Arabidopsis thaliana: one gene and its partners. The protein of the gene in region 2 interacts with the protein of the main gene of each other region in a biochemical or structural test. Each region holds a gene or a part of one and is shown on either strand. Other genes may lie near its edges.

Evidence for each region.
Region 1: of the proteins of MYB110 (region 2) and ATMPK8, one has a biochemical effect on the other in vitro, tested with the Arabidopsis thaliana proteins (one large-scale study listed by BioGRID).
Region 3: of the proteins of MYB110 (region 2) and MPK1, one has a biochemical effect on the other in vitro, tested with the Arabidopsis thaliana proteins (one large-scale study listed by BioGRID).
Region 4: of the proteins of MYB110 (region 2) and MPK5, one has a biochemical effect on the other in vitro, tested with the Arabidopsis thaliana proteins (one large-scale study listed by BioGRID).

What each region holds. Positions count from the first base shown.
Region 1 is NC_003070.9:6,242,707-6,250,055, reverse strand, and holds ATMPK8 (Protein kinase superfamily protein), read left to right. Parts: upstream 1-2,243; 5' UTR 2,244-2,390; exon of another isoform or gene 2,391-2,464; 5' UTR 2,465-2,473; coding exon 2,474-2,740; intron 2,741-2,967; coding exon 2,968-3,370; intron 3,371-3,462; coding exon 3,463-3,590; intron 3,591-3,692; coding exon 3,693-3,752; intron 3,753-3,910; coding exon 3,911-4,060; intron 4,061-4,172; coding exon 4,173-4,328; intron 4,329-4,419; coding exon 4,420-4,557; intron 4,558-4,671; coding exon 4,672-4,745; intron 4,746-4,832; coding exon 4,833-4,949; intron 4,950-5,039; coding exon 5,040-5,238; intron 5,239-5,337; coding exon 5,338-5,415; 3' UTR 5,416-5,758; downstream 5,759-7,349. Other genes in the region: AT1G18160 (Protein kinase superfamily protein), read right to left, coding at 1-285, 442-930. UniProt on the Arabidopsis thaliana protein: MKK3-MPK8 and CAMs-MPK8 modules negatively regulates ROS accumulation through controlling expression of the RBOHD gene during wounding.
Region 2 is NC_003074.8:11,006,578-11,011,893, forward strand, and holds MYB110 (myb domain protein 110), read right to left. Parts: upstream 2,880-5,316; 5' UTR 2,843-2,879; coding exon 2,539-2,842; intron 2,441-2,538; coding exon 2,153-2,440; coding exon of another isoform or gene 2,037-2,152; intron 1,982-2,036; coding exon 1,656-1,981; 3' UTR 1,502-1,655; downstream 1-1,501. Other genes in the region: AT3G29010 (Biotin/lipoate A/B protein ligase family), read left to right, coding at 368-546, 629-867, 954-1,102, 1,179-1,400; EXPA5 (expansin A5), read right to left, coding at 4,961-5,270.
Region 3 is NC_003070.9:3,346,832-3,352,765, reverse strand, and holds MPK1 (mitogen-activated protein kinase 1), read right to left. Parts: upstream 3,685-5,934; 5' UTR 3,448-3,684; exon of another isoform or gene 3,202-3,447; 5' UTR 3,188-3,201; coding exon 2,765-3,187; intron 2,680-2,764; coding exon 1,990-2,679; 3' UTR 1,586-1,989; downstream 1-1,585. Other genes in the region: AT1G10220 (ZCF37), read right to left, coding at 1-607; WLIM1 (GATA type zinc finger transcription factor family protein), read left to right, coding at 5,003-5,137, 5,329-5,425, 5,525-5,568, 5,656-5,745, 5,883-5,934.
Region 4 is NC_003075.7:6,889,667-6,896,006, reverse strand, and holds MPK5 (MAP kinase 5), read right to left. Parts: upstream 4,082-6,340; 5' UTR 3,865-4,081; coding exon 3,692-3,864; intron 3,438-3,691; coding exon 3,308-3,437; intron 3,238-3,307; coding exon 3,100-3,237; intron 3,024-3,099; coding exon 2,691-3,023; intron 2,595-2,690; coding exon 2,411-2,594; intron 2,335-2,410; coding exon 2,162-2,334; 3' UTR 1,800-2,161; downstream 1-1,799. Other genes in the region: AT4G11340 (Disease resistance protein (TIR-NBS-LRR class) family), read left to right, coding at 1-290, 1,296-1,368, 1,539-1,799.

The DNA of each region.
Region 1 (7,349 bases), on a different chromosome or scaffold from region 2:
AACTAAAACTGCCAGTTGCCTTACCAATTCACTGTTCACAAACCCTGAAGAAGACGCTGACTTTGATTTTGCTGCAATATCAAGAGCCATTTGTTCAAGTCTCAACAGATTAGAATCTTTGCTGCTGTTCACTAGAACAGCATCCCAAGTTACACCATCTGACACAAGTGTCCCCTGAAGATCAACTAAGGGAGGTATTCTTTTTAAGGAAGATTCATTCATTACTCCACACAGGTCATAGAAACCATCCACAATCTTGTCATCATAGCCAAGACAGTTATAATTCTGCAAAATTCCAGATGATGTAAAATTGGTTAGAAGAGACAGAAAAGAGTTATAAACTTATAATCAACTTAACACATTTTGTTTCAAGCATAGTCTATTGTCGCTTAAGTGAATTGGAAATTTGTTTCTATGTCTAGCAATGAGTTAAAAACTCACCCAATATCTATATGCCATGAGTTCAGCTGGAGTATTCTCGGGAGCAGAAGGACGAGAACCTAAGCTGAACTGCTTCATAGCCTCAATCTGAGCAGCTTCAGGATCCTCCCTAGCACTTAACTCTAGAGCCAACTGTATCTGATATTCTTCTTCAACTTCTGGATCCTTGGAATTACTACTAGAACCCAAACCCTGCATCCCAGATTCCGACCCAACGGGACCACCATGTTCCATGGTAGTGTCATCCTCTTTGCTATTGGTGGCATTGGAAGAAGAAGGGCTTTTCCTGTGAGTAACAGAGCTTAACCAATTTGATAAACCCAAAAAGGGTTTGAATTCAGAGTTATCTTGAGACCTCAATGAATCAGAAGGAGATGGTTCTGCATCACTAGACTTATTGCTTCTGTTAGAGACTGAACCTTCACCATCGTCTCGTTGATTGGGCGTGATACGAAGCTTTTTGAGAAATTTCTTCATGTTCATCTTCATACTCCAAATGTTAGAGCAGCGAACATCGACCCGAAAACTCCTTCATCCCTCGAATACACAGAAAAACGAGAACTTTGTGCTAAAACCCTAATTCCTTGGTACCACGACCCGGAGATCTGGAACTCCGTCCAGATCAACGGCTCGTCAAAATCTAATAACTGCAGCAAAAGAATTCTCGAGAAAACCTTAAATCGGAATCCAAATCAAGTAGCAAGACTCTCAATGGAGATCAGATTTCGATTTCAAGAAAATACTTTTTTTTTTTATCTCCGGAGCTGATCAAAAACCCAATAAGAGAAAGTTTGGAGCTTTTTTCTCAGCAAGTAAGCGAAGCCTCTTCCTTCTCTTTGACTCTCTCCTGAATTGAGAAAGTCCACAAAGACGCCACTTTCTCTCTCTTAAAGTCCGACAAAAGAAAATCAACTAAAAAAAACTTACGTAAAACAGAGTAGAGTAGATAGATAGATACGAGTATAGTAGAGGATGAAGAGTGGATTTTTGAGCTGGAGAGAATTGAATTTTGTTTTGCTTTTTTTTGCTACTGTAATTAAAAAATTACTCTATTTTTTGTACAATCAGTCAAAGCTTAATGCAAATATAGAGCTATTTAAAAACTTACCAATTCATTTTTAATGCAAATATATCATGCAAAACCGTACATTTTGTTAAAAAAAATAAGAAATGATAAATCGCAGAATTGTTTACGATCGTGCTTTCCATATTCAATATTCCTTCGCGTATCTGGATTTGTTTGATATCATTTATTCAAATAAAATTTTGTCTTTTTGGCTGAAAAAATGCTTCGCTCACCACCTTATGCATTATCCTCCCATGACATATCACATATATCATCAAGCGTATTATTCACTAAAAAATGCTTAGATTACGCTACTGTCGGATTCATTTATGACCCAATAACTATGATGTGCTCGAACCGCAACAGACTCCTGGACCTGCTCAGCTCATGATGAAATATATGTTCATATCATCAACGCGACCGAACGAGCAAGGCGTTTTTACTCTCTCTTTTTTTGTGTCTCAGATTCATAATTAGACTTTTAATTCCGGTTTGTAATGTAACATCTAACATCTTCTTAATTTCGAACCTTGTCCGGTTGAGTTTAATCCGTTTAGTGATTGAACGAAAATACATTTATTGTATGGGCCGCTTTGTAGGCCCATATACTCAATAAATGCATATGCCCGAATCAGGTTATCATTAACCGGTATAGACAAACCGGGTCGTCGAAATATTCCAAAGGTTTAAATATTTTGTTCTTCTCCCTCCACTCACTCTCTCTAATAATCAAGCAGGGGAAAAAAATAAATATCTGAGCATAAATAATGAAAAAAACATAAAAAGAAAATTAAAAAAAAAATGAAAAAATAGGAGAAGAACATGGTCTCCAACTCCGAAGGACAAAACCGAGAGACGCGGCGAGAAAGACGGTGACTTGACGGTAATTGTTTGGCTCTCAAGGAATTTCGGATACCCAATTTTGTAAATTACTAATCTTTTTCTTTTCTAATCTAGTAGTGGTCTATGGGTGGTGGTGGGAATCTCGTCGACGGTGTTCGTCGATGGCTTTTTCAGCGACCTTCTTCTTCTTCTTCTTCTTCTTCTTCCAACAATAATAATAATAATCACGAACAACCCATTTTCAATTCTTCTTCTTTCTCTTCTTCCTCTAACCCCAATCATTCCGCTAACTCTGGAGAGCTTATTATTGAAGAAGATCTCGATTTCTCTGGTCTAACGCTTATTAACGTTCCTAAACGTAATCATTTACCTATGGATCCTCACAAGAAGGTACCTTTCTTCTTCTCCTTCTCTACCCTTTTATGCTATTTGCTCTTAGATGTTGTCTTTTGATTGAGATTGAAGAGACTTGTTTTGTTCTCTTAATGTTCTGTGTTATTGCATTTGCTTCCACAAAAGGATAAAGTTTCAGTTTTGTGTTTCGTTTGATTGATCTTATTGTCTTGATCCATCATTTTGGTCAATTTTAAGTATGAATCATGAATAAAATTCTTCAGGGTGAAACTGAATTCTTCACGGAGTATGGAGAAGCTAACAGGTATCAGATTCAAGAGGTTGTTGGCAAAGGAAGTTATGGTGTTGTGGCTTCTGCTGTTGACTCACACACTGGAGAGAGAGTTGCGATCAAGAAGATCAACGATGTGTTTGAGCATGTCTCCGATGCTACTAGGATTCTCAGAGAGATCAAATTGCTTCGGTTGCTTCGTCATCCTGATGTTGTGGAGATTAAACACATCATGTTACCTCCTTCTCGCAGAGAATTCCGCGATATTTATGTTGTCTTTGAGTTGATGGAATCTGATCTTCATCAAGTGATCAAGGCGAATGATGATTTGACTCCTGAGCATTATCAGTTTTTCTTGTACCAGCTTCTTCGTGGTCTGAAATATGTTCACGCAGGTTAGTTTCTGGTTTTACACATTGGTCTCTTTCGATCCTCATGATTTTTGTTATAGATAATATTGAAACACTTAAGGGTTCTCTGTTTTCAGCTAATGTGTTTCATCGGGATTTGAAACCGAAGAACATTCTAGCTAATGCTGATTGCAAATTGAAGATCTGTGATTTTGGGCTGGCTCGCGTTTCTTTTAACGATGCCCCAACCGCTATATTTTGGACTGTGAGTCATCTAACTCAATGTGAAAGCAAAACTGTTCATTAGGCTTCCTCTTAACTATTTTCAAATGCTTGTGAGCTCATTTCGTTTATATGGATTTTGTAGGATTATGTAGCTACTCGGTGGTATCGTGCCCCTGAACTCTGTGGATCGTTTTTCTCCAAAGTAAGATTCTTTTTCACCAAACCCAACTACTCTTGCTATTTCTCCCTACCAGGAAAATGCTTCTAGTTTTCTATTTTGTAGAATATTGTTGTGTGGTTCTATAGTGTTGTTGAGAAGACCAGCCATCTCAAGCTAAGTCTACTCTTGTTATATTTCAGTATACCCCTGCGATTGATATCTGGAGTGTCGGTTGCATTTTTGCGGAAATGCTTTTGGGTAAGCCTTTGTTTCCCGGGAAAAACGTTGTGCACCAATTGGATCTAATGACTGACTTTCTTGGTACTCCACCTCCTGAGTCAATATCAAGGGTTAGTCACTCAAAACACTTGTTCATATTTTCTGTAGCAAATTTAATGTTCCATACATCATTGAGAGTAATTTAATCCTTGTAATGAGCTTTGCAATCTTGGACTTCTACAGATTAGAAATGAAAAGGCGAGGAGATATCTTAGCAGCATGAGGAAAAAACAACCAGTCCCTTTCTCTCATAAATTCCCTAAAGCTGATCCTTTGGCTCTCCGCCTTCTGGAACGCCTGCTTGCCTTTGATCCGAAAGATCGTGCATCAGCTGAAGATGTAAGTGAGAAGTAAATTTGCTTTACTTTTCCCTTTTGTTTTATACAGAACGAAACTCTTATATTCGTCGTTTTTGATTTTCATATTACAGGCACTAGCTGATCCATATTTCAGTGGTTTGTCAAATTCAGAGCGTGAACCAACAACACAGCCAATTTCAAAGCTTGAATTTGACTTTGAGAGAAAGAAGTTAGTTAAAGATGATGTCAGAGAATTAATTTACCGAGAGGTAACAAACAAACACAAAAGCCTTCTACATATATCCTTTTCTTTAATCTGAATTTGTTTCAATGTTATTCATTGATCCTAACAATCACTTTTCTTTGGATTTTGTAAATATCAGATATTGGAATATCATCCTCAGATGTTGGAGGAATACCTTCGTGGTGGTGATCAGCTTAGCTTTATGTACCCAAGGTTAGCTAATTAACAGTTAACAGAAACTATAAGTCTTGAAAACAGAAAGTTATGAACTCGATAAATCTTTTTGTTGTTTACGCGCAGTGGGGTAGACCGATTTAAAAGGCAATTTGCTCATCTTGAAGAAAATCAAGGTAAACCAGGAGCAGCAGGAGGAGGAAGAAGTACTGCACTTCACAGACATCATGCTTCCTTGCCAAGGTAATGTCTTTCACAGAATCTCTCTATCTCTTCTCTTCTCTTCTCAATCTCCCTCTGAGAGCATTGTGCTTCTCTATGATGATGTTGCAGAGAGAGAGTTCCTGCTCCAAATGGTGAAACTGCAGAAGAAAGCAGTGATGTTGAGAGAAGAGCAGCAGCTGCTGTGGCTTCAACCTTGGAATCCGAGGAAGCAGACAATGGAGGAGGTTACAGTGCTCGTAACCTCATGAAGAGTGCAAGCATCAGCGGTTCTAAATGCATTGGTGTCCAATCTAAAACTGACAAAGAGGTTAGTTAGTAAAGAAAGAAAGAAAGAAAAACAGAAGATCTTGAAAAGGAACATGACGATGAAGTTTGCTTACTGTTGTTCTTTTCTCTTTGTTTGCAGGATACCATAGCTGAGGAAGAAGATAATGAAACAGTTGCAGAGCTTACTGATAAAGTTGCTTCTCTTCACAATTCTTAAAAATGATTTAGTTATTTTTTTTCTTTTCTTTTCTTTTTTCACGAAAGTTTTCTGGTGAAAAGAAATTGGTTTCTCCATTCATCCACATCTATCTTCGTGGTTGGGTTTGATTTGTTGTATTTAATAGTTTTGGGGGTTTGATGAAACTTTAAATAAAAACATCGATCTCCATGTAATTTTTTTGTTTCTCTCTTTTCTTTAAACACTCATATTTTGAAATTATTTATATACTATTCAGTATTCACTTTGCTTCAGTACTTTGGGAGAGTTTGTGTGATTGGTATGATCCGGTCCAGGTCAAACCGGGATATTGGGTCTTATATAATAAATTATATTAACCTGAAGAACATACTCGACTTCTTAAAAGTAAAAAAGATAAGACTAAAAAATTAGCACACATAATAATAATGCTGTGTTAGTTGGCTTTTTAATGACGAAGACTAACCTAATATCTATTATTTATATTCCATGGTCCATCTGAATTGATACCATTCTTGGACTAATCTCATAACGACAAAATAAAATAAATAAAACGACAAAAAGAAGAAGAAAAAAAATGAACAAAATCGGGTTTTTGAAAAAGAGGTCAGAAATAATGGTATGGTCGAGTAAAGTGAGCTCCAGGGAGCTTACTCACCAACTCCAAACTACAGTCTCGATAAGAAAAAGAAACTGCAAAAAGTTGATGTATATATGGCGAACAAAGTCCACAGACGCCAGATTGGTTAAAGCAATTAGGCTACACTGTTTTTACATTATTTAGTAGAAATACTAATTGAATTTGTGCATGTTTAAAAGTGAAAAAAAACTAACATTATACTAATGGATCATGCCGCCAAACTTTGGAATTTGACTTCAAATTATGACCACTACAAATATAAATTAAAGAAAAAGTTGGTTTCATGTAAACTATAGGATCGTAAAGGAAGATTGTCACAAAACTCTTGACTAATAAAATTGGAAGTTAAAATGTCCGAAGAAAAGTTATATTACAAGTCTTTTCTAATCGCCAGTGAAAAGAAAATCGGTTCAAACTACATATTTTTTGTTCTCATAAAACGGTTTGTGGTCTTAAACATGCTGAAGATTCACATCCATTTATAGTTTTATTTTCGACTCCTCTATATCATTGGAGCTCACACATTTTCTTTTTGTTTTCATAGGAATCATTTTGCATTTTAAATCCATGTTAAATTTTTGCAAAGCATCAGTTTATGAGTTGTGTTCTATTTACGAATGAAAAAGGAGACTTGCATTTGTAGTATGTAATTCATATATTTTTTATCAGGTTTAAAACAGTTTGCAATTTCGTCCTATTATTTGTTCTCTTCGATGGCTCGCACCAACCCATGCACAGATCACATCACTTTATCGACCATAAAGTTTCAATGATTTTCCTAATATAAGACTTTTTAAAAGTATTCCATCATACATCTATATATCACTAATGTGGACTTCAAATTTCCATATTATCAGTACGAAGATTTAATAAGCGGAATTAACTACAAAGCCTATAATTCCATTTATATAAACAACATGTTTTGATCTCTGGTTTAAGAAGAGATTATATACTTTCGTCCCATACTTTATTGTTACAGAAACAGATAATGTGAATTTTTTATATATATGGTAACCATAATGCACCAAACGGAAACTCTAACAAATTCTTTTAATAAAAAATTGTTTGCAGATGACGCTTGAACCCAATTATAATATAAGGGAATTTTGGGTTTATTTTCCGACTTTGTAAACACTTCTTAATCACAACAGAAAACGTTAAAAAAGAAAAGGACATTAATTTGGACATATATATCATACACGTTTTTCATGTGAAAGTTAAATTTACCCCACAAATCCTGAATAAATATCTACTAAAGTACACATAACTTTTTACGTAACCAATTTTACATGCATGTGTTTCTTTTTCAGAAGGA
Region 2 (5,316 bases):
TAACTATCGATCTTTATAAAACACATTCTCTTTGTGGCATTACATCGAACACCTTGCGCGCATAAGGGTTTTTTCGAGAAACCGATAAAGCTTCTGGTCAAGCTAGAGGCTTTCACAGCTGTAATACAGAATTCTCCAGTTCCATTGAAGTCGGAGATCGTACCGTCACCGGAATCTGATTTCAGGTAAGCTTCTCTTCTTATTGGAATCGAGATTTGATAACACAAATCCGACCAAAGATTCGAAATTTCGAGATTTGTCTGGTTTTAGTGTCCAGGGTCTTTGTGGGTTTTTGAAGAACGAGATTAAAGTTTGGTTATTTGTAGAAATTGAAAAGTCTCTGTTTTGATGAAGGGCTCAGGTTAAGATGAGTTTAAGTAGAGCAAAGGATTTGAGACTTCCGTTGATGAATTTGGTTAGACTTAAAGGTACACCAATTTTGGAGCAACTTCATTTAGAAGAAAGGCTTCTTAGAACATCTTCTGATAATTGGTGCATTGTTAATGATGGAACCAATGTTCCTACCATTGTGATGGGAATGTCAGGGTAAAGAATGAATCATCTTTTCATCAATTCTATTCGAAATCGTTTGCGCAAAATGTTAACTTTTGTGTGTTGTTGTTTATAGGAAGCCTTCTCAGCTTCTTGAGGTTGGACCAGTTATGGAAGATCGAATACCGGTGATTAAACGATTTACGGGAGGAGGAACTGTGATTGTGGATAAGAGTACTTTGTTTGTGAGTTTGATTTGTAACAAGGATGATGTACCAAATGTTCAGCCTTATCCTCGTTCTGTTATGGCTTGGAGTGGTTCGTTGTATGATGAAGTGTTTAAGAGTGTTAATGGTTTCCAACTACGTGAGAATGGTGTGTGTGTGTGTGTGTGTGTACTCAGGCTTGATTCTTCTTCTTTGTCCACAATGAAAATGTTTTAATGTCATTTGGATTTGCAGATTATGTGTTTGGTGATCGTAAGTTCGGTGGGAATGCTCAATCGATAATTAAGAATAGATGGATTCACCATACTTCATTTCTATGGGACTATGATGTGAGAAACATGGCTTACCTTAAGCTGCCTTCGAGAGTGCCACAGTACCGGTTGGTATGTTCCTTGTTTCATCTTGATCTAAACGTCTTCTAATTGATTACTTGATCCAAAACTCTTTGGTACATTGCAGGAAAGAGATCACACAGATTTCGTGTGTAGAATGAAGGATTACATTGAAAGATCAGATTTTGTTGAGAAGACAGTAAAAGCTGTAAGGAACCAATTCACATTGAAGCAAGTGAACCTTGAAGATATTGATTCCTATGCGAAAGGAGGATATTTGAAGACTACGAGGCTTCTTACGATGGAAGAACTCGAAGAAGCAATGGCTGATACCATTCAAAACACATGAGAGTATTGCTATAGTTTATTTGGTTCTCGATTCTTTACCTCGGGTTAGACCGTTAGAGCCACCACTACTTGAGATAATTTTGTGCTGGTTATTGATTTTGTAATACTGATTTAAAACTTTGAATCAGAAAAGAAAAGATACTTGATGTCTTTAGCTTGTCATGTTAATGGCTAACAAAAGAAAAGTCAGAGACTTTGATAATAATGACAGGAGTAAGCAACTTCTTGATTAGTTCCCACTCTAAATGTTAGAGCTTTAGTGACCAACTCCTAGAAAATCTATAAATGCTGGAGGTTTAATGGTCTCAAAATATCTGGTCACCATTGTATGTTCTCCAGTTGTTGATGATGATGGCAGTGATAATGACGATGATGATGATGGTTCCTGGATGGAGACATGCAGTGTCAGTGCCAAGGAATCTGCAGGGAAGGTTGAGTAGTGATGATGTGGACCCTGCATCGGCATGCGTGAAGAACTATATTCTTCTTGGAGATACTGAGCTTTCAGGTTAGTAGTTCCCTCTTTTAGCATTTCCCAGCTGCACTTTTTCAGATTCACATCTTCATCATCATCTACATTACCTGCAAGAACACACAGAACCATGAAACTTAAAGACTCACCAAACTTGCAATCTGACTACTTTTGAGACCAAACCATAAGTTCATTGTTCCTGAGTGATAAATATCGAAAGTATCTCATTACAATAACAGAGTTAAACTCAATGCATATGTGTAAGGTAAGAAGAGACAAACCAGGAGAAAGATTGAAGATTTTGTGATCTGTGTTAGATTCATGAGCAGAACCATTGAATCTTTGGACGTAAGAACTTGATTGCTGTCTCATCTTCCTTGCCATGAGAACATGCCAATGATTCTTCAAGGCATTATCTGTTCTTCCATTGAAAAGCTTAGCAATCATAGCCCATTTGTTACCAAAAGCTCTATGAGCAGCAAGTAGTCTCTCTTCTTCTTCATCACTGAAAGCTCTCTTGTTAATCCTCGGATCTAACTGGTTAAACCACCTCAATCTGCAGCTCTTTCCTTTAAGACAAAACACAAAGAAGCAAGAAAAAACATTGTAAGTTTCATGTTCCGGAATTAGCTAAGGGAAGATTAAAGATTTCAATTTTTGTCGTTACCTGTTCTTCCTTGCATACTCTCTGCAATGTGGTTCCAGTTTTGAGGACCGTAAACCGAAACAAGCTCCATAAGCTGAGTATCTTCAGAGATCCTCCAATGTCCTCTACTACAAACCCTAGAAACACTCTGTTTCTTCTTCTTCTTAGTCTTCAAATCATCACTCTTCTTCTGCATCCTTCTTTTATTACAGAACTCTTCTACTGTTTCAGACACTGCATTGTTTTCTCTAAACCCATTAAATGTTGTTCCTCTGCAATGAAACTCAAAAGGGTATTCTTGGAAACATGAAAAATCCATCTTCATGTTAGTCTCTCTTCTATAACTAATGTCTCATATATACACACACACAAGACAAGAGAGACACATACATATAGGGAGGCATGTGATGTTTGGATTCTCTGATGGCTATGTTATCGTAAGTAATCTTTTTCATTACCAAAAATGGAAACCTGAAGAGAGAGAAGAACAGGTTTGAGATGAAAGAGAATAACTCGAAATAGAAAGAAACCCCACGCATACATCTTTCATGGTTGCTCTGTTAAGAAACAGTTTCAGTTCTCTGACATCATTTTTTTTTTCTTTAACAAAGTTTGAATTTTTTGTCACACCTTATATTCTTCTCCCCACGCTTTACCATTTTCTAAATTATACTATTTCCTTGTATATGTAAAAATGTAGGTATATAAGAACAAAAATATGTATACCTATTATTGGATGAAATTTCTTATAGAAGATAGATATATATTCCTATGTACAACTAAGTTCTATGTATTATTTAAGAAAAAAAAACACAAGATTAAGACTTAAGTTTCATAGTGGCATAACCAACATATTCAACATGAAGAAAGCATAATGTTGTTTAAAGTTTTTTGGCCCAGTTGTTTTAGATAGGCAGGGCCGGTTGATGGCACGGTCTGGAGCCCCAACCCAATAATTAAAGGGCCAGATTTTAAAAAAGTGATTGCATATGAAAAAAAACCAAAATTAATCTAGAGGCCAAAAATGAATTCTCAAACACAAGAAAGATTAATTTAGACAAAAAAACTAGACATAGGCATTCGGTTTTGGTTCGTATCCATTCAGTTATCGGTTTTTTGGTTTCTAAATTTTAGTATTTATTCGGTTATTTTAAAATTTTGGTTCGGTTTCGGTTTGGGTTCCAGTTTTTTCAGTTTTGTAATTTAGTATCCATTCGGTTATTTTGCTTTGAATATTTTCGGATATTTCGGTTATTTTGGATATTATCATATATTTTTTGGTTATTTTCGAGTATTTTACTATTTATATATAATTCCAAGTATTTTTAGTTATTTAGTTTAACAATAACTAATATTTTTTAAAAAGATAATTATATTTTGGATATTTTTGGTTACCCAAAATATTTTGGTTTGGTATCAAGTCAATTTTGGTTCTTTCTGTTATAGAATTTAGTATCCATTTGGTTATTTTCAAATTTCCGGTTCGGTTTGATTCGTTTTTTCTTCAGTTTCAGTTTAGTATATTCGGTTCGGTTTATTTGTCTTAATTAAAAGGGCCTAATAATATTGAGCCGATGGGACATATTTTTGGGGAGCAAACTTGATCCAGTCCAATCCTCTAAGATTCAGAGAGATCTGACCCATTTTGTTAGGTCTTTAAAAATATATGCTATTAAAGTAAAAAATGGCTTATAAGACTAATTAATTTGGATCCATCAAACATACCAATTAACTTTTTTTAGTTTGCGATTTATTGTAGACTGGTTCGCTGGACCGCAAGGACAAGTCACAAAACGTGCATACCCCTATTATGATTTAACATTTAGAGATCTTGCTAAGGTCAAGCCAAGCTGGCTCTGCCAAACATATCATTTTCTTAATGTTCTAGCATCCCATATTTGAGTCCAAATTTCGTTATAGTACTATCCAAGAAAATTTACTTAACAAATTTTCAAGGTCATTTTACAACATTTTAAAGAGATAATAGGTCTAGTCTAACTGGTGATGATATATTTAACAAAATTTTAGGTGGATCATTTGACATTTAAATGGAGGATTAATTGATTTAAACTAGTGTTTATCTTTGCTTCTTCCGAAAATATCTTCCAATTTTTTCATTTAAACCAATGAATTGTTGGTATTTTTTTCTTAATAATAAGAAGAATTATTTGGCAGAAAAAACAAATTTCATGCTTCCATAACATGAGAATTTTCACCACTTAGTACTCAAATTAATTAAAAAGCAAAATACATAACATCACTTTCATTTTCTTATATTATAAAACGAGAATTAATAAAACTTCTCTTTTTCTCGTTCCCACACATATATTCGCTACATATCACTATCAGTCCCAATCTCAATTGGTTACCAAAAAAGAGTCCCCAACTTGGAACCGAAAAAAAAAAAAAAAGCACAATAACAAACCGAACCGATTATATATAATTAATACCGAAACTGCCCTCCGGTGTAGGTCTGGCCAAAGGACCAAGTGGGTGGTGCAACATTAAAAGAGACGACACTTCGACGATCACTTGTGGTAACAACAAACGACAGACTTTGACCATTGAGATAAGAGTTGCTTTGCCAATTTTGCCCCCAATTTCTCGACATTAATTGCCATTTTGTCCTCGACCCTTTCATTGAGACCGAGTGTACGTCCCCGGCTCCACCCACGTTTGTGACCAACACCAAGTTAAAGTATGAGTGGCCGTTGATCGTGAACCTTATCCCACCACTTCTCTTGCACCGAACCCTATATAACACAAAATTATTTAAATAAAAACTATATGTTATGAAAG
Region 3 (5,934 bases), on a different chromosome or scaffold from region 2:
TCTTCCTCCTCTTCGTCTCGTATGTTGATCCTCTGTTTCTGCTCTGTTCCTTGATCATTGGAACCAAGTACCAAACGATACAAGTGCACATGATCGAGACGGTCCGTCCGAAAAACACCAATAATATTAGAACCAGCACCACTGTCACGGGTAATAAATGGTTTGGTCTTGAAATCTTCTTCAGATTCTCATTCAATACACAGCTCTGTTTCTGCTCTGTTTCCAAATCTGTTTGCTTTATTTCTTTTTCCTGCTCTGTTTTTGATTCGGTCTTTACATTGAAATCATCTAGAACATCCTTATTCTTGACCTTGAAATCATCTAGAACGTCCTTCTTCTTGACCTTGAAATCATCTAGAACATCCTTCTTCTGACTTGCCCTCTTTGTCTTGATCATTACAGGGACGCACTCGCCGGAGCTAGTGAAGACAAACCGAACAAGAGGCGGTCCATCAGGATCAAGCCTCTTTGCGTAAATGCTCTGTCTTTTCTCATCGAGCTCAGATAGAAGTGCAGAGAACTTGTCAAGTCCTTGATTTGAATAAGGATTCTTGCTTTCTTTGTTTCCTCTTCTCGATCTCCTAGGTGACGAAAACGGACTCAACATATCAAATCAATTCAGTCCAATCAACAATATCCTCTTTTTTTTTTTTCTGTTACTGGTCCTTTGTGTGGAGAGGTTGTGAGAATTTGAGAGCTTGAAGGAATTTGGTTACGGAGGAGTTGTTAGGCAGGATTTAGTATTTGGACAAGAGAGACGGCTTTATTGTTATCATAATGAGACTTGTCTTAAACTAATTGTAAATATTTCAGATACACAAATGGATTGGTGATTTGACCAGATCTCATTAAATGTGATGAATTGATCAGATCACGTATTGTTGACACTTTTTTTGTTCTCTTTTAGGACGAATAGAAGATAAGTTTCTACCAAATGAAACGTCATCCCAGATGTATTTTGCTGATCTTACAAATTGACTTTCTTGCGGAAGAAGCTGCAAAAAAATTTCCATGATGGTGTAATCATATTTTTTTGGTTTATCATAAGTAATTGACTAATTGTTAATTTAACTTAGTTTTGACTTGGGGAGAAAGAAAGACAAAAGTGATTCAACCATAAACATATAGTTGGAATATTCATTGTTAATTTAAATTTCTGATGGGTTTACAAAAATTGGAAAATCCTCCAAGTTATTTATATACTATGAAAAGAAAAATGAATTATGAGAAGGAAAGTTGGTGTAGAAGAAAAAGCTTTTAGCCTTTAAGGCTTTTTAACCAATAGAAGCAACATATCATGTGTTGACAAAAAAATGAAGCATATCATGTGATAAATGAATGAGGAGGGTACTGATACTACTCACCAAAATTATCTTATAGAACTTCATTAAGAAATTGAAAGAAAAACAATACATTGTTTTTGTTACGATTTGGAAAGTTAGGTTCGGTGCAAAGGCCTACCCCTTCTATGAATCCGAAGGCCTATGATCATGGTGTGATCATCAAATATTCATATAACAAAATGCTTAATTGTTGATATTCTTAGATTTAAGCTATATGAGAACAACTATATGAAAACTTGATTCATCAAAAGGCTTGGATTGCATGAGAGGGTTAAAAGTTCTGCAAGAACGCAACAAACAAACAGAGAAACAGAAACACAGCTCTCTCTATGAACATATGTTACAGACACACATCAAGCTTGTAATTAAAAAAAAAACACAGCTCTTTCTATGTACATATGTTACAGACACACATCAAACTTGTAATTAAAAAAAAAAAACAGCTCTCTCTATGTACATATGTTACAGACACACATCAAGCTTGTAATTAAATAAAACAGAGCTTCCATGGCATCACTATTCGCTTAAACTATAAGTTAGTCTTCATCTTATTTTTCAAGACTATATACACTATGAGTCTATGATGACAATCAGACATAAGAAGAAGAAGTTTTCTGTAAATTACCCGTACAAACAAGACTTGAGCTCAGAGCTCAGTGTTTAAGGTTGAAGCTTGTGGATGGTAGTGAAGCATCTCATTCCACATCATTTCTCTTATCATCTCCTCTCTCAAATCCTCATCTACATCGAGATCGATAGGAACTTGAGCAGGAGGGTTTGCATTCGGGTCATATAGAGGCGCCATGTATGGATGCTGGAGTGCTTCAGAGACACTAATCCTCTTTGACGGATCAAAAACAAGCATTTTCTGCAGAAGGTCGATGGCCAAAACATGAGCGCCCGGGTAAAGTCTGGATAAAGACATCCCAGGTGAGTACGGAAGTGATCTAATGTATCTTTTAGCTTTCGGGTTATCTATGAACTCAAGATCTTCTTCTCTTTGGCTTCCGAGAATGTTGACAATGAGCTTCAGCTGGTTAAGACATTCCGTTCCTTGGAATATCGGTTTCCTACCAAGAAGCTCGGCGAAAATGCAACCAACAGACCAAACATCAATGGATGTTCCATAGTTGTCACAACAGAGGAGAAGCTCTGGGGCTCGGTACCAACGAGTCACAACATATTCAGTCATGAACTGACCCTTGGTGTTGCTCGCACGCGCTAGTCCAAAATCGCATATCTTTAAATCGCAGTTTGCGTTGACAAGAAGGTTACCAGGTTTCAAATCTCGGTGCAGGATATTGGCTGAATGAATATACTTGAGCCCTCGAAGCAACTACACAAAAAGAACAAAGCAAAGCAAAATTTCAGGAGAAAGCAAAGCTAGAACCAACAGTAAATGAACGGGATCAACCACACACCTGGAACAAGAAGTATTGGCAATGATCGTTACTAAGAACTTGAGAAGACTTGATAATCTGGTGGAGATCAGTGTCCATGAGCTCATAAACAAGATAAACATCCTTGAAGCTCATCTTATGAATTGGCATCATGACATCTTTCAAAGCAATGACATTCTCATGTCGAAGATGGCGTAGAAGCTTGAGCTCCCGAAGAGTCCTCAACGCATCGATCCTATTCTCATAAACATTGTGAATCTTCTTGATAGCAACTTTCTCGTTGGTGTCACTGTTAACAGAGGAGCAGACAACACCGTAAGCTCCACGACCAATAGGCTTGATAGGCATGTACTTAGTGTCGATCTCGAACAGAGTTTGCCACATTGAGAAGTAATGCTTCCCTTCATTCCTTATCCCATTAGGAGGATCAACCAAAGTCGCCATTTTTTGTTTTCCCTCTTCATCACAATTCACACACAATCAAGAAATCAAATTTACACACACAATTAACAAATTATTATACTAACTATTTATCAAAACTTTTCAAGTGATAAGTTACTGTAGATTTCTTGTGTAAACAGATTGGTCTGTTAATAATAGTGAAAAGGAAAAAGATCAAACTTTATCGATTTGGTGAAGGAACATAAACGATCGGAATCAATGGGAAAAAAGTTTACGGGATAAAGCGGGAAGGAAATTCTAACCGGTGATAAGTGACCAACGACGTTCCCCGGAGGTTAGATTTGGCCGGAGAGAGAAACCTGTGGAAGTGAGAGAGATTTGGCCAACGCTCGGACAGTTGACCTGCTACTTGTTCGTTACTAGGTAGTCTTTCCTTATATAATTTGGGCTTAAGTTGAGCCCAATTAATATTGGCAAACAGATTCACGTCTCTATCTTCTAAAATCAATTTCGGTATTTTTTAGTAACTGATCACCAAAGTAGCATCATTTGTGAATATGTGTTCTACGAAGATTTATAAAAATTGAAAATGAAGAAAAGTATTTTAAAGTAAAATATATCATAAATGTAAACAATGACACATGACTAAAATATTGCATCACCAATTCACCATCTTCTTTTGCTTTAACTTTACGTTTCCATCACACATCTTTTCATTTTGCTAAAATTAGCATCTAGAGGAAAATAAACTACAAAAGATTTAAAAGTTTTCATTAAGTCAGATTATTAATATAAGAGAGGAGGCCCATGCAGACAGAAAGGGAAAGCCCATAAATCTAAGCAGTGGCAAAAATGTTAGAAACTGTATAAAATGATACTAATAAATTGGTTGGAGTCTATTATAGTAGCAAATAAAAATAACGTTAGGTATTTTTGATTAAATAAAAGATGTTAGGTATCATTATGATCACTCATTCTCTTCAACCAATTATGTCAATACTACAGCTCATCAAAAGCCTTTATGGTAAAGCATGTTTCAGATATTTTCATTATTCATATACACACTACACAACATATAGTATTAAAGAAAATAAATAGTGTATAGATATTTAGAGATTTCCAACTAATTCAACATAACCAATACAGCTTTTAATCATTATCTAAAACCAGACAAAGATTCTTTCCAGTTGGTTTTCCCTGTTCTATTTCCTTACAAACAGTTATTGACTATTGAGCATTGCCTTCACTGTTGAGAAAAATTTGTGTAAATCTTACGCACTGTCAAGCAACTGCATGCATTCTCTAAATAATTACCTGACTCTAGATATAAAAGAACTGAATTAATGTAAAAAAAATATAAGCAAAATATCTAGGAGACAGATATTGACGGGTTACTTCAAGTTTGGACAAAAATAATTAAGAACACAAAAAATGCCGTTGAAACCTTTTCTTTTTGTAGTACAGTTTTTAGTTTTGTTGCTAACGTTCAAATTATTTATTTATTCATCGCTTATCTTGTTTTGTGGATTAGACAACCACGAAAAACAATGCTAGGGTTGTCAGAAACACCAAATATTCGAATTTGCATCCAAAATTCGATACTCATCTTGAACTTTTTTGTTTGTGACATTTTATTAAAAATTTCAATTTTTCCTAAAAGAATTTTACTTTAAATATTTAAAAAGAAGAAGCATGTTCATTTTTCAATATATCTGGTCCCCATATTAAAACAAGCAACAATAATTGACAATCTCTTTCTTTCATCTTCATCTTATTCTTCTTTATCTCTCTCTCTCTCTCAAGACTATTGAGCTTCTTTCTTTTTTCCTGAGTCTTTTAGTCTGATCTCTTACAAGAATGGCGTTCGCAGGAACAACCCAGAAATGCATGGCATGTGACAAAACAGTTTATCTTGTCGACAAGTTAACCGCCGATAACCGGGTCTACCACAAAGCTTGTTTCCGATGTCACCATTGCAAAGGAACTCTCAAGGTTTGATCTTTGATTCTAGTTTGTGATGATTTCTCATTAATCCAGAAGTAGATCTAGTAGATATATATGTAGATGAAGAAGTCCAATCAATTAAGTAGAAATCTTTGAATTTTTGGCTATGGAAACTGATTGGTCTAAAGATTTGACTGTTCTGTTTCTTCTTCTTCTTCTTCTTCTTCTTGATGAGTCAGCTTAGCAATTACAACTCCTTTGAAGGAGTTCTCTACTGCAGACCACATTTCGATCAAAACTTCAAGAGAACTGGAAGTCTTGAGAAAAGCTTCGAAGGTAAATTACCAAAAACAGATCAAAATGTGAAAAGCTTTGTGAGTGGGGATTTCAAATTTGGAATTATCTATCTAAAGTTTGATTCATATATATGTACAGGGACACCAAAGATTGGGAAACCTGATAGGCCTTTGGAGGGAGAGGTACTTTCGGACAGCAGAACAAAACCCTTTTTCTGTTTTTGAGGTTCTTGAATTTTTTTAACATTTAACATGAGAGAAGTTTAACAGAGACCTGCTGGAACCAAAGTTTCGAATATGTTTGGTGGAACACGAGAGAAATGCGTTGGTTGCGACAAAACCGTGTATCCAATTGAGAAGGTATCCAATCTCAAATCTTTCCTGATCAGAATCAAGTTGTGTCAAAGAAGATTGTTAGATTGTTTCCATAACGAATCTGATCTGTTCTTGGCTTAAACCAGAGCTGAAACATTGCTTATAATGTGGACTTTGTGTAGGTATCGGTGAATGGAACATTGTACCACAAGAGCTGCTTCAAGTGTACACATG
Region 4 (6,340 bases), on a different chromosome or scaffold from region 2:
CCGGAGTCCACTTGGTGCTTAGACGAGTTGGTGGAGATCGAGAAACAAATGGATCTTAAGATGCTTGATTCTTGTCCTATCTTTTTTGAGGTTGAGACTTGTCACGTTAAACTTCAGGTCGCAAGAAGTACTTTCAACTACAATCTACTGCAGTTGGAGCACGATGAGCGGAAGAAAGCTAGGCAGATTAGTAAGAAGGCTTGGGAGGATGCAGAGAAGAGATTCGAAGGATGGAGAAAAGCTTTGATTTCGGTCGCGTCTCGCTTGGGCTTAACATATAAGAAGGGGAGGTTTGATTTTATTTAACTAATCACTATGTTTTTAGCTTTTAAGGAATCATAGATTAACTAATACTGAGTGGAATGCATTCTTAGTTAATATAGTTAATTCGTAAATCAATATAACTAGAAAATGATTGGAACCATATTTTTAAAATGTCAAAATATCACAGAAAAGCAGTGGTATCTACATATACATTTTTGCAGCTATTTTGTGAAATAAATCCTGGAGTTAAGATTTATTTACAATGGCTGTCACTGACTTTTAATTATTGTTTTTTTTGGTAATAAATTAATTAACAAACGAAAAATATTCCAAATATATTCTAATCTCATATGTCATGCAGATTTCTCCAAAATCTGAACTAGATTTCAGCAACTATTTAAAACAAAAAATGTTTGACAAACCAAAATACAATTGCAATCCCTTAAAATGAGCAAAACACACCTAAATACATTCTTTATCTATACAATAAATCTTATTTCTCCAAAATTTGAGCTAGATTTTGGCAACTATTTAAAACAAATATTTGTTTGACAAACCAAAATACAATTGCAATCCCGTAAAATATTTATTTTAATTATATATTTAAATTAGCGGTGTACCGCGGGTTTTTTACGGGACGGATTTGGCGGGACGAGTTTGACAAGACGTTATTTAATAACAATTGTAAACTATAAAATAAAAATATTATATAAATAGATTTAATTTGCAAACTTTAATATATACTAATTTAAAAATAAAATTGTTCTCGCAGTATACCGCGGGTTAAAATCTAGTAAACAATACATTCTCCAAACCGAGTTAAAAATGAATGTATTGAGTATTGACTATGTATAAACAGTATTAAATCTTTTAATATTTGAATGTTAGATTCCTAATATGTGGAAATTAGTCTTTATAACTTTCAAAATCTTACGTACTAAAAATGAGGTCATTTAACAGTAGTTTCTTCCATTTGCGACATTGTTATCATACTTATATGATTTGTTTTCTTTCTTACTTTGTTTTGGAAGCAACCAAGCAACCTTCGTAAATGAAATCGTCGAGAAGGTTAAGGCAATGCTTGACAACGTTTCCTCATCACACGTACGTAATCCTATTAAATCAAAAATTATGTAGTTCTAGAATTAGAGAAATTGAAATATTGCCAATGACAAAGAAAAAAAAAAGGTGTGTACAAAAGAACATACTGTATGTTAATTATATATATATAATTATTGTATAAATCTAGTGGCTAATCATTGTAAAATCTCTAGATTACGCCGCAACATCAAGTTTACATAAGTTTTCGGAGTCGAGAGATCCGCAACAAGTTCTCCAGCCTTCTTAGAGCCGCGTTACGAAGGAGTGGGATCAACGTCCTTCTAGATGATGAAAATATCACTCGAATAGAGTCAAGAGACGAAGTTGATAGACTTTTTTGTCGAGTTTCGAGAGTGAAGGATCGAACTAGTGTTCATTACCAAAATTTGCAAGAGCTCGACGTAGTGCTTGAAGAAACTGCTGGAGATGAATAAACACATCGAGTTTTTCCCATTTTCTACGAGTACAATCCAAGTGACATGATACAAGTCTAAACAAAGATAGCTTTTTAATTTAATTTCTTGAGTTACAAGATAACAACATGATATGTAGAAGAAACAGAACACTATCTAAGACATCCTGATAATAAGAATGGACATAACTACTAAAGATATGTCTTGGGTTACAAGGATCCTTATAGAACAATTTCTTGAGTTGCAAGACAGCTTTTTTAACTAGTGAAATAGCTTAAACAACGATCAACATGAGATGAAGGAGAAACAGAGCTTAAACACTACTAATTTGTTTTGCTCAATGTCAGAGTATAAAACTTGCTTTCCCCTTCTTAAATAATGTTTTAAATGCTCGGCAGAGGATTGAACTTCACAGATTCGAGCCACACAAGCTCCTTTATCTCTTCTTCAGTGGAAGACGGATCCTCAAAATGGAAACTGAAATGGTTGGAACAAACAGGCTCGTCGTTAAGGTCGTGAAGAGCTGACAAGTAAGGATAACACAGTGCTTCCTCAACTGCAAAACAAAGAGTATGATCAAGGATTCATCACCCATATGCCAATCTCGCTATGTACAATTTTTCTCATCATACCCGTGATACGTTTTACTGGATCAAACACGAGCATTTTCTCTAGTAGATCGATAGCTGTAGAATTCATACTAGGAAACCTAGCTGAAAAGTTTTGTCTTGGGAACTTAGGTAGCTCCTTAACATATTTTCTCGCGTTCGCGCTTCTGAGAAACTCTAGACTCGCTCCATCAGGTGATCCTATCAACTACTCAACCACATGAAACAACTCATAAACACATTGCAACACACAAATAAAAGTTTCCAACATTTGTACAGATCTTTCTAAAACAGAACATCATACCTCAGTGATAAGTTTAAGCTGATGAACGTAATCCTTCCCCGGGAAAAGCGGTTCCCTTGTCATAATCTCAGCAAATATGCAACCAACAGACCATACATCAATAGCAGATGTATACTCAGAACTATTAAGAAGCAGCTCTGGTGCTCTGTACCATCGTGTTACAACATACTCTGTCATATACTCTGTTTCTGATGTAGTCCTTGCCAAACCAAAGTCAGTAATCTTAAGATCGCAATTCGAATTCAAAAGCAAATTACTCGGCTTAAGGTCACGATGTAAAACATTTGCTGAATGAATATATTTGAGTCCTCGTAGAATCTGATACAAGAAGTACTGCAAAAGAAGAAAAAGTGAATCACTTGTGATTAAATCAACCATAGTATCAAATATAGCAGAGTAAAAACCGTACCTGACAATGATCATCATTCAAAGATTGGTTTGATCGAATAATCTGATGAAGATCAGTATCCATTAACTCAAAAACTATATAAACATCAACGAAATCTTCCTTCTTTGGTGGTCTAATGATATCTTTTATAACAACAACCTGTACAAGTCAAGACCACATTAGCTAGAAACTCTAATCGTTTACCGCGAAAATAGAGTACAAAACTTACGTTCTCGTGTTCTAAATGACGAAGTAGCTTAATCTCTCTCAATGTTCTCTTTGCATCTACTTTATTATCAAAGGCTTTACCTATCTTCTTTATCGCAATCTCTTCGTGTGTCTCCGAATCTACTGCAGCACTATAACAATAAACCAATACTCTCATGAATCATTTTGCTTATACATAAACACAAACACAAACAAATCATCAAATTCATTCAATTTAAACTATGATTTTGAAGACAGAACCTTTCTTAAATCCAAAAAAGATCAAATTTTGCAAGCAACCCTAATTCAAAAACCTATACCAATACTTAGTTCTTTATCTAATTAGGGTTACAAATACTAAGTAAGAAACAAGAATATGAAATACACAAAAGGGTAGAAGTTGTACCAGACAAAACCGTAAGCTCCTCTACCAATAGGTCGAATAGGAGGAACATACTTATTAGAAACTTCAAACAAGTTTCCATAAACATTGTATTGAAAATATCTTCCTCCATGAACAAGAACTCCTTTGATGTTAGTATCACCTAAATCTGTCGCTGATTCAATTTCCTTCGCCATTTTTTTCAAATATCGAGATAATACAGAAGAAACCCAGAAAATCAAACTTTGAATACAAGATTTTTGGAGATGAGATCGATTCGATTCGTCTCTGCAAAATTAAAATAATGATTTTGTTGAATGTTGAAAACTTTGAAAATCTAAGGAGATAGAGAGAGACGCGTCAGAGGACAACGACTCTTTTTCATTAGTTTGAATATTTTGAATAGGTCAAAACGTATCGTCACATGTCCATCAGCCACGTGTACTTTGTAATAAATACAGATGGGTAAACGTTTGGGCCTGGCCCATCTATTTAATATAGAGAGAGGTATGCTATCAGCTCTGGTCTATGTTATGAGGCCCACGTAATATGAAAGTAAGAGACCTTTTCCTTTTCACCTATCAATACACATCTCTCACTAAAGGAATTCTTCGCAACAGATACTGAGATACAATACAAGTTGGAGTTTAATCTCTCCTCTTCTACTTGATGATTCTCATCCAAAACTACATACTTTCATTCTAAGGTATGTATTCCATATAATCAATTCATACTTTGTGGTGCGAGCGTAATGGTAGACGTCATGGTAACTCTTCTGTTCCTTCGGCCAAGCTTGCAAGTATTATCGACAAGAACGTTAGAAACCGCTCCATCAGCACAATTTGGATCTCGGGAAACTCGGTTTATGAAGAGGGCCTCCACTATTGGTTCCACACCCGTATTCCATAGATTCCTTCAAATGTTATAGTCTCTTCGTTTTCAAACTTTCAACTCAAAGTCACATTCATTATACAATTTTTTTTGGTGAATATCATATTATTCACTTAATATATCAGTAACATCTTATATGTACATATAACAGTTGACATATTAAACCAATATCGAATAGAATGTTATCTTTTACTTAATATATTAATTTATACTATTCACCAAATTGTCATTAAAATTACGTTTTGAACTCTGGAATATCGCGAGTTTACCAATTTACTCATAATCTTCAACTTTTCTATATAAAAAAAAGAAAATTAATATGGATCATATTATACGAGGTTTCTTTTGATAACTTAATCTTTTGAGTCAAATTTACGCAGAACCTAAATATAATTAACTTGTGATGCTCAAACTACAACCCTTAAAATACCCTAAATTGTTCAATATTTTCCTCGTAAAATACCCCATATCTAACTCAAATCACTCGCACTTACACATCAAATATGACTAGGCCGACACAATATAATATATATCCAATAATTACATGTTATTTAATTGGTACGACAATCTCCGACAACGATACCATTACCAATACCAATCTCTTTTAGCCATATTCATGCTAAAAGTGTAGTGGCAGATCCAATTCACTTTTATTATTGATCTTCTCCACTGATTGGCTTAATTTGATGTGGCATTCAATTAGATTAATTAGATCTCCAACATTATCCATGCTTTATAACTCATGACTCACGTGACTGTTTTTTTTCCCTCAAGTTTTGTTTCGTTTATCTTCACAATATTTTTAGATATCCTAAATTGAAAACATAATAGACATGATTGTTGAATTATGTAGGTAAATCTCTCAGTTAGAAATACTGGGTTTGAGGCATGTTGGAAGAGATTTCTTTCCCAAAGGATATGAATTTAATCTGGTGTGGATCCCGCCTCTAGAAAATGTAAGGTCTTTGAGTTTGAATTTCCAGATATTCAAAAAAAATAAAAAAACAAAAAGACAACAACTCTAAGCATAATAATTTACTCAAGTTGATATGTGGTGAACTATTCAATGTGAAACGTTTGCGCTCTATTATTGGTATGCTGTATTATTAGTGTGACGGTATGACACAACGGAACTTCCAATATATATGTTGTACAATTCTAAATTGGATTTTACCGGGGGAAAATATCTTGATCAAGTACGAAATATGAGTGGCTTGAGTGTATTGTATATTTGTATGTATATGGATACTAATAAATAATCTTTGTTCCGTGGGAAAAGATTGTGTAATTTTTGGTTCATAGTAACAAGATTAAGAAATTTAAATCGGAAATTAGTAGGTTTAAATTTAACATGTTCTTTTGGTCGCAAAGGTAAGAATTGACGTAAGAGAATTTAAAAAACAAGGACGTAAGAATTAGATTTTCGTGTTTTGATTTCATTATTGTTGTTTTTAAAGTTAGTCACACAATCACACGAGACTACGTCTGGTTGTGGTCGATCGAAGTATCGAATCGTGAGACTTCTATTAAGATATAGTTATTTTGAAAAATATGAATGTTATATATATTATTGATAAATAAAGTGAAATTTCCGATCGCTTGAATCAATGACAACAGTCACAGGCTGGTTCTCATACTATCACTCATAACATTCTTGGTATTATATGCTACTTACAATTTATTTTTATTTTTTCAAGAATTACTTTTGTTTTTTGTTAGACATGATACCTAATCTCTATGATTGTAAGTTTGTAACTACCAATCTTGAGGGGCCGTCGCAAG